Linked DNA regions of Danio rerio. The protein of the gene in region 4 interacts with the protein of the main gene of each other region in a pairwise test. Links are inferred from orthologs where the notes say so. Each region holds a gene or a part of one and is shown on either strand. Other genes may lie near its edges. The genes, in order: sec22a, alkbh4, rfx6, dtx2 and eif4enif1.

Evidence for each region.
Region 1: the proteins of dtx2 (region 4) and sec22a interact in binary tests that used the Homo sapiens proteins (3 or more experiments, as listed by UniProt). The two-hybrid records come from large-scale screens. The link is inferred for Danio rerio from reciprocal best matches to the Homo sapiens genes DTX2 and SEC22A.
Region 2: the proteins of dtx2 (region 4) and alkbh4 interact in binary tests that used the Homo sapiens proteins (3 or more experiments, as listed by UniProt). The two-hybrid records come from large-scale screens. The link is inferred for Danio rerio from reciprocal best matches to the Homo sapiens genes DTX2 and ALKBH4.
Region 3: the proteins of dtx2 (region 4) and rfx6 interact in binary tests that used the Homo sapiens proteins (3 or more experiments, as listed by UniProt). The two-hybrid records come from large-scale screens. The link is inferred for Danio rerio from reciprocal best matches to the Homo sapiens genes DTX2 and RFX6.
Region 5: the proteins of dtx2 (region 4) and eif4enif1 interact in binary tests that used the Homo sapiens proteins (3 or more experiments, as listed by UniProt). The two-hybrid records come from large-scale screens. The link is inferred for Danio rerio from reciprocal best matches to the Homo sapiens genes DTX2 and EIF4ENIF1.

What each region holds. Positions count from the first base shown.
Region 1 is NC_133184.1:39,565,235-39,568,756, reverse strand, and holds part of sec22a (vesicle-trafficking protein SEC22a), read right to left. Parts: intron 2,976-3,522; coding exon 2,812-2,975; intron 190-2,811; coding exon 10-189; intron 1-9. UniProt on the Homo sapiens protein: May be involved in vesicle transport between the ER and the Golgi complex.
Region 2 is NC_133180.1:67,366,380-67,369,043, reverse strand, and holds the end of alkbh4 (alpha-ketoglutarate-dependent dioxygenase alkB homolog 4), read right to left. Parts: intron 1,124-2,664; coding exon 605-1,123; 3' UTR 502-604; downstream 1-501. UniProt on the Homo sapiens protein: Dioxygenase that mediates demethylation of actin monomethylated at 'Lys-84' (K84me1), thereby acting as a regulator of actomyosin-processes.
Region 3 is NC_133195.1:45,805,845-45,808,704, forward strand, and holds part of rfx6 (DNA-binding protein RFX6), read right to left. Parts: intron 1,227-2,860; coding exon 867-1,226; intron 414-866; coding exon 408-413; intron 1-407. UniProt on the Homo sapiens protein: Transcription factor required to direct islet cell differentiation during endocrine pancreas development. Specifically required for the differentiation of 4 of the 5 islet cell types and for the production of insulin.
Region 4 is NC_133180.1:65,408,675-65,412,726, reverse strand, and holds the start of dtx2 (probable E3 ubiquitin-protein ligase DTX2), read right to left. Parts: upstream 2,805-4,052; 5' UTR 2,292-2,804; coding exon 1,970-2,291; intron 1-1,969. UniProt on the Homo sapiens protein: Regulator of Notch signaling, a signaling pathway involved in cell-cell communications that regulates a broad spectrum of cell-fate determinations.
Region 5 is NC_133181.1:43,478,323-43,482,382, reverse strand, and holds the start of eif4enif1 (eukaryotic translation initiation factor 4E transporter), read right to left. Parts: upstream 2,808-4,060; 5' UTR 2,517-2,807; intron 1-2,516. UniProt on the Homo sapiens protein: EIF4E-binding protein that regulates translation and stability of mRNAs in processing bodies (P-bodies). Plays a key role in P-bodies to coordinate the storage of translationally inactive mRNAs in the cytoplasm and prevent their degradation.

The DNA.
Region 1 (3,522 bases), on a different chromosome or scaffold from region 4:
GTTCCCTACCTATGCCTTTATATTTAGACTCCTTGTGTTGTGAGAAGCCGTTGATTGATCCAATGTCCTCCGCCGAGAGCTGATAAGGAGGCCGGAGCTTGATCTCGGTCTGCATGTCGGCCAGATTAATCTTGGTAGAGAGCGAACGTGGGCTGTTGTAACGCAGCTTGGTTTTCCGAATGAAGTTATCTGTCAAAAACCATAGAAACGGCACACTAAATCAAAGCTGGGCATCACAACGTGGGTCTGTATGTTACAAATTGCTTCAATGCATTTCATACCAAGTTAAATGGAGGTTCTGCATTCGAAGTAGTTCTTTAGATAAATCCAATGATCCCTAGCCAAATAAGGCTCGTAAATGACTACATTTAAATGTTCCACAAAAGATGCAAATCTATTAATGTTTACTCAAACTCATCATGCTTTTTAGAGATCGACTAATGCTCAAGGTTGGTGAAACTGTTCGTGTGGAACTAATATAAGTGGAACTAATTAGAGCAAATACTTTTCAGTGCCAAGTGAAAGGGTCTGTATTGGATGTGATCAAATAATTAACACCAGACTAATGGCAAGAAAGTGTGTTGAGCTTTCCTGAATCTTACAGCGAGAAACATTTCATTCTGCCAAACTCAGGAGGTAATGGTTTCAATCAGATTAACGAATAACCATCAAGGCTGTTTTGCATTAGACATGCACACATTTATCATATCAAACAAATACATTCAGGCAGATGATGCCGAAGGGCTAGTTATTTTAGATACTTTTTATTTAAGTAAATTAAACCACATAACTTAAGTCAATTGTTTAAAATAACCAATTATGTATGCTTTTTGATTTTGTACACCTCCTGACAGAAATGAAGACAAGGTGGCCTAGTTTCACAGAGCTTAGACTAAGCTAGGATTAGGCCATATTTCACTTAGGACATTTTTTTGCCATAAAAGAATTACAGGTGTCCAAAATTGAGACGACAAACACGCTGATATTTTAAGATCAGTTCAAGAGTTCACACTTAGCTGATGATTGATTATAAAGCTTGTTTGGCATGCTGTCCCAGGAGAGAGCCCTAAGCTCATAAGATCCTCGAGCCCTGGGCCCCCTCCCATTTGCAAGGCGAGAGGGGAATTTGAGCTCAGGTAGAACTCCCCTGATGTAGTAACTAATGACCAGATAGTGATTGCTCTTAAGAGATAACTACTTCAAAACGAAGATGTCTGTCATATAGAACTTATGGTATTTATAGTGGTTTAGGAATCGTCTGATTGGTGAATCATGAATTGAATAATGCAGGGCCGCATTATAAGCACGTGATCCTCTCAAAATTAGTTTATAAATACACTTCATTTAGTGCAAGTTTCTTTTTTTTCAGGTTAAACTGCTCAGACTCAGCGGTTTCAGAAATGATGATAACAATAAAAAGTTATACACTATATAATATACTGTCTATACATCACACAACTGATATATACTGCTTACATTGTCAATCAAAAGTTTGGAGTGAACAAGTTTTGTTTTGAAGACATTAAAGGGCCCCTATTTTACCCCTTTTTCAAGATTTAGATAAGTCTTTTGTGTCTCCAGAAAGTGTCTGTAAAGTTTCAGCTCAAAACACCCATCAAATTATTTATTATACCTTTTAGAATATTAGAATTTTCTGCTTTCAACACAATGTAGCTGTATTTGTGGCCTGACCCTTTAATGCTAGTTCTCCCCACCCACTGTTCCCACGTGCCTGTTATGTCTGTTATGTTAATGTACAAAATAAACCTAATTTAACGTCCACAAACCGGGATTTATAACTGTTTTGACACGCGGCTGTGAGGATAATGTCGCTGTAATTCATTATAAACATGCACTGCTTTAAAAATTTTTTAAACCTGTAAAAACTCATTCTTGATCACATTTTATGATGATAGATGATCACAGTGAGCTGAACAGATAATTTAATCCCAGTTGCTTTGTGCACATCCTGTCTTGTTGATATGATTATACACGTTACTACGAAGACATGTTAATACACGGCCGTCAACCAAATTAGTGGGTAGGAAAACTGCACTCCTTTGTCACGTTGCGGTGGGCCTCAAAACAGGAGGAATTTGGATCTTATTTTAACATCAGGCAATTTTTTAAAAAGAGATATGTTGAGTTTCTATCACTCCAGTATGACTGTGGACACACTATACCTACACACAGTGAGGTACACACACACATTTTCATCATAGGTGCCCTTTAACACTTTAATCAGCTACAAAATTTAATATTTAAAAAATAAATAATTCATTAAATGTTCTGATGCCTTTTTTTTACTAATATACAAATAAATAAATATCTAAATATGAAATATGATCTAATAATAATGTTAACTTAATATCTAATATTAATGTTCAATAGTTTTATGACCTAATTGTTTTTAAAGATTTTTTATTTACATAATAATAATAATAATAATATTAGTTTTTAGTTTTGTTTTGGTAAATGATAGATTAAAGCTTGGTAGAAAACTGCAGATAACACTGTTATCATGAGCTACTCAGATCAAAATGTGACAATGAAACATGCAAAGCAATTAGCATGAATATTTATATAAATACACAACACAGGCTGTGTGGTTTTAAAACTGTACTGACAATATTGGGTTTCCAATCTTTGTTGTTATCATTCAATTCAATTAGTTAAATTTTTCATTTACAACACAGAATGTTTCTCATGTAAGTACGTTTTAGGTCCTAAATAAACAAAAAAAATATGATCCCCCTTTGCAAAAACAGATGCCTTGTTAGAAACCTGTCCTGACCCCCTTAAGAAACTCACCAAACTCAATGAAAGAGAAAGGCCTCAAAGCACTGTTGATCCGCTTGGTGTCATACGTGACTATGAACTCTCTCTGAAGCTCATCTAAGAAGCTGAAGGCCAGGACATTGGGATAGTTCTCTGTGCAAACCATCAAGTACCCAACTCCGAGAGAGCTTGTGAAGCTGTGGAAAACAAGACATGTCACAGTTTACATCATACTTCTACAGTCAATTTTCATTTAGTATTCAATATAGAAGATGAATAAGTTGACACACTGACAGCTCTGGGAAGCAAAACATGTAAAAACATGACATCTGTCATTCCCAGACAGGACGGGCAAGGTCAAGAAAGTCCATTCCAATGACCTTCGCATTCAAATAACCATTGTGTATAAAAATCCCCCATCACCCTCTGTTTTACACCTGCTTTGAATCTGAACAGTTTAGTAACTCGCCCTCAGGAAAGAAGAAACTTTGTCAGTGTGTCTCTCCATGTTAACGTCTATTTGAGAGATGAAACGATCCACTGAGTCAGTCCAGAGAGAGATCGGACTTGTTTCTGCCTGCTTGTGAAGTGTGGACTGATGAATAGCAGCCAGGCTATGAAATGGTCACCCCTGGGTCCGTCAGTGTAATGCATCTGAATTAGACCTTGCTGAAGGGGAACTTTTAATTTTGCATCAGAACAGTTGGCAACCAGTGCACAGCACCCCACTGTGATTTGTTTTAG
Region 2 (2,664 bases), about 2.0 Mb from region 4:
GTGCATGTAAATGTGGGTATTTATGCGAGAATCGAGTTTATATGTATATGCAAGTGTGTATAGGTGTGTTTGCATGCAGCAAGTTTATATGTATGTGCGTGTGTTAATGTGAGTGTTTATGTGAGGATCGAGTTTATATGTATGTGCGTGTGTATGTGGGTGTATTCATGCGTCAAGTTTATATGTATATACACAAGTTTCATCCATGTTGTTTTGAACATCCAGTAGTATAGGTGTATATGCGAGTAATTTATAGGTGTATATACATGTGTTTTATGTATGTGTTGATAAGCAAAGTTTGATTTAAATCCTATACGGCACCTCATACTATTTCATGGCTTTATATATATATGTATATTTGTAAGTAAATTTGCTTGCAATTTGTGTATGATTTTTATGCACGATTCACACCCTTACAAAACCACGACAATCAATCTAGATGGATTATTTCTTTTGAAATAGAGCTATACAAGCCATCTGGTGAAAACAAACAACATGATGAACAGACTGATAAAAAGCATTTATTTAAATTAACAATTAAAACAATCACTTTACATTTGTGCAATTGAACAAACAAACAAACATGCATCTAAGTGGAGCTGTCTTATAGAGGAGCACCCTGGAAGCTCAGCGCTATATCCAACAACTCTGAGCCCAGTTTCTCCTGCTGTCCTCCGGGGAGAAACTCAGCCGAGAGCTCCCGAAAGGTGCTGCACACTCTGCGGCCGTGAATGTCTTTTCTGTGGATGGCATGTTTCCACCGGTGCCGTGCATCTCCGTAGAGCACAACCAGAGACCTGCGGGGAAGACGCACAGCCACCCTCACCTCGCCCTGCTCCATGTCTCCCCAGCCCTGATCCAAGCTCAAGGTCAGAACGGTGTCCGAGAGCAGGTTAACGGTGACCAGGTTTTCTCCCCACAGCCAGCTGTCGTCTAAGTGTGGGTCGATGGCGGAGCCTCTGAGAGAATCATAGTCCAGGTTGCACTGCTCCACTGGTTTGAACGAAGATAACTGGGGTAAATCTGACATCCGGACCAGCAGCCGACGACTGATAGCAGGCAGGCCGCTGAAGCTTCCCACATGGACACGGCGCTTCTTGAAGTTCACCTTTGGCCCAAAGTCCTTTGGATAGACAGATGTCTCATGAAATTAAAATAAAGGTTTTCTAGTTTTTAGTATCAGTATGTTAGTTTTAAGAATATCTATAAGCTAGTGTGCTCCAAAACCGTGATAAAACCCAGGTTTAGAAGATATTAAACTGATATAAGCATCCAAAGCCTGCAGTTTGTCACTTCCACCTAAATGGATCAATGATTTTGTTCACGTCACCCCATACTTCAGTTTCTTCAGGACTTATATACTTCAGAAATATTTTTTCTTCTGGAGAAAGTCTTATTTGTTTTGTTTTTTTTTCGGCTAGAATAAAAGCAGTTTTTAACTTTTTAAATACCATTTTAGGGACAAAATTATTAGCCCCTTTAAGCTTTTTTTTCTGATCGTCTGCAGAGTAAACCATCGTTTAGGGGCGGACTGGGACTTTAAATCAGCCCTGGCACTGTAGCCACACCAGCCCACATTACTACACTGACACAGCCCCATCCACGGACACGCACATTTACTACATATATTGGTGTACAGATAGTAAAATAATATAAGCAGTACCATATGTATTAGATATTTAAACATTTTATGTATGCGACCCAACCCATTTGAAACAAATTTATATATGAAATCATTCATTTTCGTTTCAGCTTTGTCCCTTTAATAATCTGGGATTGCCACAGCAGAATGAACCGCTAACTTATTTAGTAACTTGTTTTACGCAGCGGATGCCCTCCAAGCTTCAACTCATCACTGGAAAACCCCTATACACACATTTACATACATGCACAACTGACAATTAAACCAACCCAATTAACCTATGAGGTGAGGTGACAGTGCTACCCACTGCGCTGCCCCCTTTCGAGAATAGTTCAGTTCATTTTATGCATTTGGCAGCATCTGATTTTAGAGCCTTTTTTATTTTGCTTTCTCTGAGCTTTTCGGCACTGCATTTCCTTTTTTATGGTCCATCTCTAACAATTAGCTTGTGTTGCACCTAATGTTTGTTTGACATTCTTGCCAGATTACATTCCGCATAACCTCTGATGAGGATGGCCCATCTCGAAACCAGCCGGTCATTGTCGATTGGGCCAATGCTTAACATTTATTATTATTATTACTATTATCATCATCGAAAAACGGGCTACAAGTAAAAACAATATATATATAAAAAATAAATAGCTGACCGGCCCACATTTAAAAAAATGGTCCGGCCCTTCTGGCATTTGCCAGAATTGCCAGATGGCCAGTCCACCCCTGCAATCATTATACAATAACTTGCCTAATTACCCTAACCTGCCTAGTTCACCATATTAACCTAGTTAAGCCTTTAATGTCACTTTAAGCTGTATAGAAGTGTCTTGAAAAATATCTAGTCAAATATAATTTACTGTCATCATAGCAAAGATAAAATAAATCAGTTATTAGAAATGAGTTATTAAAACTATTATGTTTAGAAATGTGTTGAAAAAAAATCTTCTCTCCGTTAAACATAAATTGGGGGAAAAATTAAACAGGGAGCTAATAATTTAGGGGGGCTAATAAATCTGACTTCAACTGTA
Region 3 (2,860 bases), on a different chromosome or scaffold from region 4:
TGTGCCTTTTATAAATCATGGTAAATATGAGTTGTTAGTGTTGTTGCAAAAAAATAGTTTTTCTTCCAGTTATTGTCTTGTTTCTAGTCCAAATATCTAAAAACTCTTAAATCAAGAAGCATTTTCTAGACAAGTAAAATAAATGTTGTTTTAGGAATATATACCTGGAGGGTAAATAAACTTGTTGTCAGTTTAAAGATTATTTTACTTACACCAAAGGCAGAAAATGTATCTTGTTTTAAGAAAAAGCTCACTTAATTTTGACTTATTATTTCTGAAAACAAAACAATATTTTTATTTGTCTAGTAAATGCTTTTGATTGAATATTTTTTAAATATTTGGACAAGAAACAAGACAAAAACTTCAAGAAAAGCAGTATTTTGTTTCAACAAAATGCGTCAACATGCCTTGACCTGATTACAATAAACACCTTATAATGATTGTTTCATTAACTGAATATTTATGAATATTTATCAGGGGTCGCCACAGTGCAATGAACCGCCAACTATTTCAGCATTTGTTTTAACACCCATACACTCTCATATTCACACACACACACATACACTATGGCCAATTTTGTTTACGCAATTCACCCATATCGCGTCTCTGGACTGTGGGGGAAGCCGGAGCACCCGGAGGACACCCACACCAACATGGGGAGAACATGCAAACTCCACACAGAAATGCCAACTGACCCAGCCAGGACTTGAACCAGTGACCTTCTTGCTGTGAGGCGACAGTGCTAACCACTGAGCTACCGTGCCCCCTACCTTATAATAATAATAATAAAAATAATAATACGTTTTTATTTGTATTACCCCCTTTCCTACATCACATGCAACTCAGCGTGCTTCACAAGCATAAACAAATATTAAAAACAACATTAATGTCAGGGAAATTATAGAAACAGATAAACAAATTCAGAAAAAAGTTTAAATTGGAACCAATTCTCGTTATCCCATAATTGACTGTGTAACTACCTGCAGGCTCCCCTAGAAGGATTGTTTTGCCCTGACCTGCTGTGTGTGTGCCCATTGCGGACAGTTCGGTGTAGTAAGGTCTTGTCTTCCTGCTGGTGTCGTCCAGGATGTTTAGAGGGTCGTGTGCTTCAGCGTAGGCCGAAACTGAGCGAATGCTGCTCACGCTGCTGATAACCGACACATGCTGATCGATAAATGTGCCCATCCTCGGAGCATCCACATAACCACTGCTGCTGCCGTAATATCCTGGACAGAAGAAAGATGAATGTTAAAGTTTCAATAGGAGCATCTGCAAACTAGTTTGAACCTTCTGTGCAGCATATTGATTTAATTAAAAGAGATAATAAATTTGGTACTTTTTCTTTGCATAGAAACATTACACTGTATTACACCAGCATTACACTGGTTGCCTGTGCACCAAAGGATAAATTTTAAGATTCTTTTATTAGTTTATAAAGCACTACACAACATGACACCTTCCTACATTTTCGACTGTTTAACAAAATATAATCCAAACCGTTTGCTACGCTCTTCTAGTGCTGGACTTTAAGAATTTTATCCTGTAAACCTGATGCGATCTGGCGGCACTTCTTTTAGCCATTATGCTCCAAAAATTTGGAACTGTCTCCCCCTTGAAGTGAAAGAATCCCCAAGTATTCATGTTTTTAAAAAGCGTGTTAAGACACATCTTTTTAAAATTGCGTATGATTAAACAAGTTTGTTAGGTGTACGCATTTTATCTATTTTGTTGTAGGTTTATGTATGTAATGTATGGTGTGTGCCTGCATATGTAAGGACTATTGTGTGTGTAATCATGTGGATATATACTTATATTTTGTGTACATGAATGCTTTTATTTCAGTATATGTGATAGGTTTTGTGGTCTATTTTAATGCTTTTGTTGTTGTTTGTGAGGCACTTTGAGTTGCATGTATGTTGGAAAAGTGCTACACAAATAAAGTTTATTATTATTATTATTATTATTAAAGACCAGTACATCTATTCTAACTGTTTTGCTAAAGTCTGAATGTGTTTGCGAAAATTCTGCTTAAGTTCAAACTGAGTTGTCCGGAAAGATAATTTGCCAGCAAGCATTTTTGTGTGTGTTTAAAGGAACACTAAATTTTTTTAAATAAATTAGGCTCATTTTGCAAGTCCCCTGGGTAAAAAGTTGAGTTTTATCATTTTTTTGGAATTCATTTAGCCGATCTTAGCTTAGCATAGATTTTTTAATCGGATTAGACCATTAGCATTTTACTGTAAAAATAATTTTGCCGTCAGAGTCTTTAATCAAATATCATGACTTTCTCTCTCCCTTGAAACAACTTTTCTTCACTTTAAATCACAATTTATGCTGTCGGGACTCTGGAGAGGATATCAGTGGTTGTCTTGTTCTGCTCTGAATTTGACCATTTGTTAATCTTTCTTTTTGTTAGCAACGTCTAAAATTATGCACCAACCTCCTTTCAGGACGGTTTCAATCGGATGTACATCACAGTAGAGGAAAATCTTAACTTCCAACTTTAATGCAAATATATAATCAGCCAATCACAGGACAGCAGCGGTGTATTTATGCTTGTAGAGATGATCTGCTTAAGTTCAAACTGAGTTGTCAGGAAAGATGACTTGCCAGTAAGCATTTTTGTGTGTGTGTTTAAAGGAACACTCTTCATTTATTTTTACAAATTAGGCTCGCTTTGCCCCCTGGTTAAAAAGTAGAGGTTTTTTTTAATTAGTTCAGATGATCTTCAGTCAAAAGCTAAGCCCTTTTAACTTAGCTTACCATAGATCATTGAATCGGATTAGACCATTAGCATTTCGCTGTAAAAATAATTTTGCCCTCATAGTCTTTAATCAAATATCATTACTTTTCTTCACTT
Region 4 (4,052 bases):
TACTGCAGCACACTACACTGCTTTTCCCAGCAGCTTTGATGACCTGTTATCAAGGATAAAGCATAAATACCATACATTTAGAGCAAGTGAATTAATCAGTTTCAGCCAAGATTCACACAGGGCTTCTTTCACTCTGTGGATTTTACAGACTCTTCCTTGACAACACATTTACTTAATCCAAATGAGCAAAAAGCACATTTCCCTAACACTCTCTTAAAGTGCTGTGGCAGTACTAGACAGTAATAACTTCACATATCGTAGTATAACAGTCCAAGACAAGTAAAAATGTATATATTAATATAATTTAATGTTACATTCAAAAAATATTTTGTTTTGCTCGTTTAACTACTTATTTAAAATGAGCTGAAACAACATAATTCTTGAGAGTTCATTCGGACAACTTAATTTTTTTTATGTTCGATCCACATTAATTTGTTAAAAGTGTTAAATTAATTAATCGATTTGTGTTGGAACAACATGACTGAATTATGTGGAACCCGGCATTTTTTACAGTGTATGAAAGAGGTCTCTCTCTACTGCAAAGTTTAAATTATTTTTCTTTGTTTACATTATTAAAAAGTCATTTTTTTATGCAACACCTTGCAAAGCAATTCTGTTTAATAGATGCATAATAGATGTCTAATAGATCCATCTTGGCTAAATAGGCTGTCAGTGAACATCTAATAGACGTCTAAGAACAGCCCAAAACTAGACTAGTGCTCAAATACACCGATTAGACAGACTCCACACGTGTGCAGTCATTCATTCCTGTGGTTTTGATAACTAGTTTAGGGCCATTCTTAGAGGTCTATTAGATTTTCACTGACAAACCACGTTTGGCAATGTTTTATCTAGCCTTAGATGTCTATTAGACATCTATTAGATCTCATTTTAAACAAAAAGAAAATGCTTGCCATACGTAAAACATGGATATTCACTTTCACACAATTGTTTTGTAATTCATCACCTGAAGTGATGCTTTCATTTGCCTAAAATATTATAAAATATGTTGATTAAAGGGATCGTTCACCCAAAAATGAAAACTAAAATTATAAAACACTATTTGATTAATCTATATATTCGATTAGTCATCAAATATGCAGATTAAACAGATCATTAGTCATTCATTTCTGTTTATTTGATGACTAGTCGAATGTTGGCCGATTCTTAAATGTCTATTAGATTTTCACTGACAGGCCAAATTTAGCCTTGTTTTAGCTATCCACATTTCCTGCTGGGTTTCGTGTAATTTCAGGTGTTTCATTTTTAAGTTGTCGACTTTTACTGCAGTTTGGTACTTTCACTTTCATTCTGGAACATTTCATGCATGCGCCCCATGACAAATAAGAAATTGCATGCGAGTATGAACTGCTAGAAGAGTGTTGTTTTAATGTAATATGATGAGGGAAAATAAACCTCCGCATTTTGTGATGCAGGTGTCTGTGGTCCTTCATTGACTCGAGAGATGCAAAGAATAGTGTTTGTACAGCCATATAGACTATCCTGTCGCAAATTTCACTGAAAGTCCTACATGTTTATATATCTGTACTACATTTCAATAATGCGACTAAATGTCTTAATTTGATTTCTGTTTAGTAAGATTAAGACCTTAATCAAATTAAATTAATCATAAATCTCTGTTTACATGGTAGACAATGCTTTATCAGAGCATTATTGGTGTCCATATTAACACACTGAAGAATTTATTATATTCATTTAGCCTCACATTTACTGTTCCAAGATATTTTAAACGTTTCTTAAAGTAAAATATATTCTGTTTGATGGGAATAGTTTGTTAGACATTTAAAATAAAACTGTTTTATAGCATTAACATTAATCACAATACGGCGATATTTGTGTGCAAGGTTTTCATACCATCCGAATCTTATACAGGCCCATGTACAGCTACAAGTTTCATAGTACTTTTTTGCTGTTATTCATCAGTTTGATGTGTTGAGTACAGACTCACCAGTGTCCTGTCTGAACTGTTTGAGGTTGGGGATGTCGATGATGTAGGAGGACAGGCTGGGGTCTGCCTGAGCCAGACAGATGCTGCTCCCGGCGACCGCTGCCCCTCTCTGGTGCTGGAGGCACTGCTCGATGTAGCTGCTCACCTGTCCGGTGTAGGGCCTCCAGAAGCCCAGATCATCCTGCCATTCCCAAACCACCGCCATCGGCTGAGCTTGTCCGGGCACCCCAGACGAGGTGACAGACGAAGTCGACGGCGAAGCGAAAGACGGTCCGTTTCTAGTTCCACTCCCTCCGGAAGGGAAACTGGAGCCTGTTGCCATTGTGTCTGCTAAGAAATGACCCCAACCGATCCTAAAATAAGCCGGAGTTAAGCAGTGGGGCTGCCTGGCCCAGCTAACAACAACACCACCACCCTTTCAGTTTCACTCGTTTTCCACCCAGCTAACCCGCAGTATCCTATAAGAGATCGCTCGATGTCGTTAAAACTGTGTTTAATTCAGGAGTGAACATTTATTTATCCGCAGATTTGAAGGTAATCCCACTGATGTCGCATCTTCTTTGCTCGGCTGCTGGAGTCGCAGCTTCAGACTAGCCGCGTCTCGCTCTTCTCTTCGCCATTCAGTGCGATGCTGCTCGGCTACCGGGCTCATTAATCGGATTCATGTAAAATAACAGTTTCTGTTAGGTCGGCAGGCGGCTAATGCTGCATGGTCGTGATTTAAAACTCGCCGCTCGGCATGGTTTTTAAAAGTACGCAGTGGTTTGTGACACACTTCCTCTGCTGCGGTGTGTGTTTGTGTCGCTGCTGGTGGATTCCCATAGATACACACTGTGAAGGCAGACACAAACAGCACCCGTCTTGTTGTCGGTATGTTTACATTTTAAATTGTTCAAATATAAAAGCAATGTCGATTTTTTTAAATGACTACTGTCTATTCTTTGTTTATGCTTTGCTATGGTTAACTTCAAAATTTGAATGCTTATCTTTATATTGCGTACGTTGTCAACGGCAGATGGCTTTTATTTTAAAAGCGTAATACACTGACTAATAACAAAATAAAAGTCACGCTGCGTTTTTCTTTGTAGATGACGTTCATAAGTGATTTATTGTGTTACAACCACTGATCTATAATAGAGAAATAATGTTTCTATAAATACATTTTAAATATGGTATTTGTGGTTAAACACAAGAATCCCACTTAAATATCTGTAATACACGAGTTCTCAATTGTACCAAAATATTAGTCAGAATTAATTAATGTGTAATTAAATGTAATTAATGTGTAATAAAACTTTTGTCATGTAAGATCTGAATCCTGAAACTTTAATAGAATTTGTAATTGTGTCAATGGTAATTGTATTGGTTGTAATGGAAACTGCAAATGTTTCCTGTGAGTCTCTTGTTGCCTGTATGCTTTGTTTTTGTGGTATGTTAAAACTAATAAATCTTATTGTAATACGTTTTTTTGCATTACACTGGAAACCATAACAATTTTCATTACAATAGCCTGTGGTTTACAACGTGTTAATTGTAACCTACCACTGTAAATGAAAACTGTAAAGATGAAAATGTGTGATCCTGTCTTCAATCCAGTAGGTGGTGCTAATGCTATCCTGATGTGTCAGGAAAATAATCTCCATTCATCTAAACTCAATCTGAAGTTGTTTCTAAATAACTTTAAAATAATTCTCAGTATACGCGTAAAGCTTCAGTGCATAATTACACACACACGCACACGTTTATGAGGACATTACATGGTCGTAATGTATTATATACTGTAAAAAAAACGATTATTATACACCCTACCCCTAAACCCAACTTCAAATGAAACATGACAAACTTTGTAATGTCAAAAGACCCTGTTAAGTATGACTTTAACCGTTTTGATTTACAAGGACACGTGTAATGTCCTCATTAACCACCACAACATTGTAATGCCTAGGTCATACAAAATTTTGTCCTCATAAACCACCAAAAACCAGCGCACACACACACACACACACACACACTCACTTTAATAAAAATATACTTTTAGTTTAGTATAGCTCTTAGATGACTGTGGTGTACCTTTTTCATACGA
Region 5 (4,060 bases), on a different chromosome or scaffold from region 4:
ACTATTTTCAATTTCATGAGGTTCTTTTTACAGCAGCGATGTTGTAATGCTTTAATCTATTTACCTGATTATATTTGAAATGCATCCATTTGGTTATAAAACCATAAAAAGAGAGGCTGACATAAATGTAAAGTCTATGTGCATATACCCCATTCACTCCAAAAAAACAATATACGGTTTATTTATTCATCCTTAGGCCATTCAATATGAAGGGGACTTTTTCACCAGTAGAACATTAAAATATATTTTTAGTATTTAGTGATATTTCTATTAGGGATGCTCCAATCAATTGGTTGGAGATCCGAATCGGCCGATAATTACAATTCAAGACTTGTTTTTTTTTTTCTTTGTAAAGTTGCTTCTGAACGCTGCATGTATGCAAAATCCTTAATTTATTATCTTAGGTAAGGAGTTATACTCATACTTGAAGGGTAATTGTGCTTATGCAATGGTTAAGTTATATAAAGCTTAAAGAATTTGTATTTGTAATCTATACAAGTTGATCATTATTCTGGTTCTGATATCATGTTTTTTTTTTTTTACCTCTCAAATTATCATAAGCTGCTAACATGCATTTTATTTATCACCAGGGACAACAGTTCCAGGTAGGCCTGTGCAATTAATCAAAATTGAATCGCAATTTGAAAAGTTACAATTAGCTAAATCGCAAGAGGCAGTGATAGGGAATATATGCATTCATTTAATTTCCCCCACCCAGAGAAAATGTGTGACTGCCATCTGTGTATGAAAGTCTTACTAGCCAATCGAGAGAGCATGCTTTCATTCTGCCCAATCAGAACCTTTCAATCCGTCTTATATCTGTCGTGTTAGTATGCTGAGTGTTCTGTATTTTTAGAATTATAAAATTTTATATTTTTTTAAACATTTGTTTAAGATACATTATTTCCCTAATCTGAGTTGAACTTGTTTACAAAAAGGTAAGGTAATTTTATTTGTGCTTACTGTTTGCTCTAGAGCAGAGTTGACCAAAGTTGGCCCCGCGGGCCAAAGTTGGCCCATTGTAACCTTTGATTTGGCCTATCATCCCATCTGAGAGGAGAGCAAGTATGTTGAAGAGGGTTGGTGTGAACGTCTTACGGTTTTAGAGAGCGTCATTTTTTATTTGATGTAACCTTTTTTTTGGTTTGTTATATTGCTGAGCAAAAAAAAAAGCAAACAGAAATGAAATGTTTCAATTAAATGCAAATTAATCAGAATGAAAAAAATAAATGTAAATACTGTCACTCAACGGATAAAGGACTATGTAGAAGACATAGGCAGGAAAATCTAGGCATAAACTAGTGTAAATTTGTTATACATTGTTTTGTTTTTACTGTAATAAATTTTTTTTTTTAAATGCTGTATTAGTTAATTGAAAGCAATGTTTTCTAGTCAGTTTTAAGCATTATTAAATGAAATAGAAAATTACCCGTGGTAAATAACCCTATGGGCAGCACAGTGGGTAGCACAATCGTCTACCCACACAGCAAGGTCACTGGTTTGAGCCCCGGCTGGGTCAGTTGGCATTTCTGTGTGGAGTTTGCATGTTCTCCCTGTGTTTGCATGGGTTTCATCTGGGTGCTCCGGTTTCCCCAACATGTCCAAAGACTTATGGTACAGGTGAATTGGGTAAACATACGCTGGATAAGTTGGCGGTTCATTACACTGTGGCGACTCCAAATTAATAAAGGGAATAAGTCAAAAAGAAAATTGATGAAATTACCCCACCTATATTTGCCTTCGACCCATTCGCCTCAATCAACTTTGATTTTTGGCCGTTCATAAGAATAATGTTTAGGCACCCCTACTCTAGAAAAAAATGAGTTTAATTACTGAATATTTAAAAACTAATTTGAATAAATGTTGGAGTAAGTTAATAACTATCGAGTTCTTTATCTAACACACTGCATTTTAGCAGTAAGGAGCTTTGATGCAGATTGAGCTTAAGCTTGACTACAAAATTAAAATCTCAAATTAAATCACAATATATCAAAACAATTGCAATTGGATATTTTCCTCAAAATCGCACAGCTCTAGATACAGGTACATTACAATTTAAAAAATAAAAAATAAAACTTACAATAAGAAAAAAACAGTTCAACAACAAATAAATCTCCTACATTTTAATGACATTAAAAGCAAATTAACATTTCTGACTGAACTATCCTCTTTATAACAACCAAGTTATCTAGATTAAAACCAGTGAGTAACTGAGCGTGATTATACAAACAAGCATCTTAGCAAGTATAAAAACTCCTCAGTCAGCGAAGACTTCAAATAAAATTGAACTTGAATCCATTAAGACGGATATAAGGTGTAGCGATTTAATATGATGTAAATGTCTGGCTCGTGTGTAATATGAGAAGCTGCTGTATTAGCAAATGACGAGGCAGACTGCAAACAAACTGCAAAAAGCCTAACCAGCCAGATGCTAAAGCACGAATCTAAACTTTCAATCTATGAATAACTAAAATATTCTAAAAAATAAGTGTTGGTCAGCACATTTATCAACTCACCTGATATTTGAAACGGTGTCACAGCACCTTCTCTGTCCCCGCCGGGTTACCTCAGTTAGCTAGCTTCTGGCTACCTGTCTTATACCAAACTACAAGAAATGCCGGAGTCAGTCCAGAATTCAGAAAGGACGCGGATGAAGTTTCCTGCATAAAAATAAAGTTTCTCTATCGACGGTGTTGAAGGGGGTTCAGATATCGCTTGTCACTCCAGGTGGAATCGTTAATTGACAGAGAGGAGCATCTCATTAGCAAACTGGCTACACTTATCAAGCCGACGCCGAGGATTTATTTAGGTTCTTACAGACGAACGACTATTTGTCCAGACTTTAATTGTACCTTTGGTTTATTTCTCCTTTGGGTTTTTTCGTGGGAGCGATAAACATGGAAAAACGCCGTGTTTGTTTGTTTATTTATAGGCTAGTGAGCCAGGTTAGCGGGCTAGGAAACTTATCCACACTCATAAATCTGAACAGCGCAGGTCTAAAGCGCGCTAGTAAATTAAAGCTCACGTATATTAGGAATAAATCGGGCGGAAATTTTGGTTCGACGACTTAATTAAAGCTTGTATTCCGGCTTCTACCATCAATGTACCTCGGGGTACTTTCTCAGAGCTCTCTCTTTCGTCTCTGTTCAGTCGCAGAGCGGCGAATTTCTTCAGATCTCTGACTGGTTCTGAGAAAGGCCCCAATCAAGGATTATATAGCTTCTAATCACGCCTTCTCTAAAGTTTTACGAAACTAGGTCTTATTTTTGATGAAGATTTCAAATGTTACAATACAGAATGTGAAATTATGAGGTTAGAAGTGTGTATTTTATACAACGCTGTTTACAAGAGGCGTTAAAGAATTTTGAACACGAATATGTTTCAGGCATTCAACGCGGCCACCCTTTATAAATTGTAGTCACGTGACAGGATCTAACACGCTCAGTTAAGTTTTTTTTATTCAGGTTGAGTTTGTTTTTGTTGGTTGGTTTACAGGATTTTGAGCAAAACTAAGAGCTTTTTATGAAGAGATTATATTTAGTTAAAAGCGTTTTATACATGTTCAAAGGCATGACGTTTTATACATGTTCAAAGGCATAAGTAAAATATCAATTGCTCTTTATAAAGTCTGCATCGATAATAGGAATAATAGTAATGCTATTAATATTAATAACACATTATTTTGAAATAAAATTATTACATTTTAAAAAGTAAAATTGTATTTTTACATCATACAACAGAATTTTTAAACATACGTTTAATAATTTAACCTACATTTTTAAACTGTTATTTTTAATGAGGCCTTTGAAAAAACTTTTATTTTGACATTGTTTACCGGAAGAATGTTCTTTTAACTCAGAAGAGCGGCAGTTATGTTTTGTTGTTGATACTAGTTGTCAGAATGATGACACCTATTTACCGAGCTACAACATGTCTTAGCCGTTAAGTGAAAACTTAAATGACTTTATCTTTACTTTAATTATAGTTCAGGTTACGTTACCTGCAGGAAGATTGCGCGGCGATGGACTAAAGGTTATGTGTCTAAAGTAACGTTACAGCG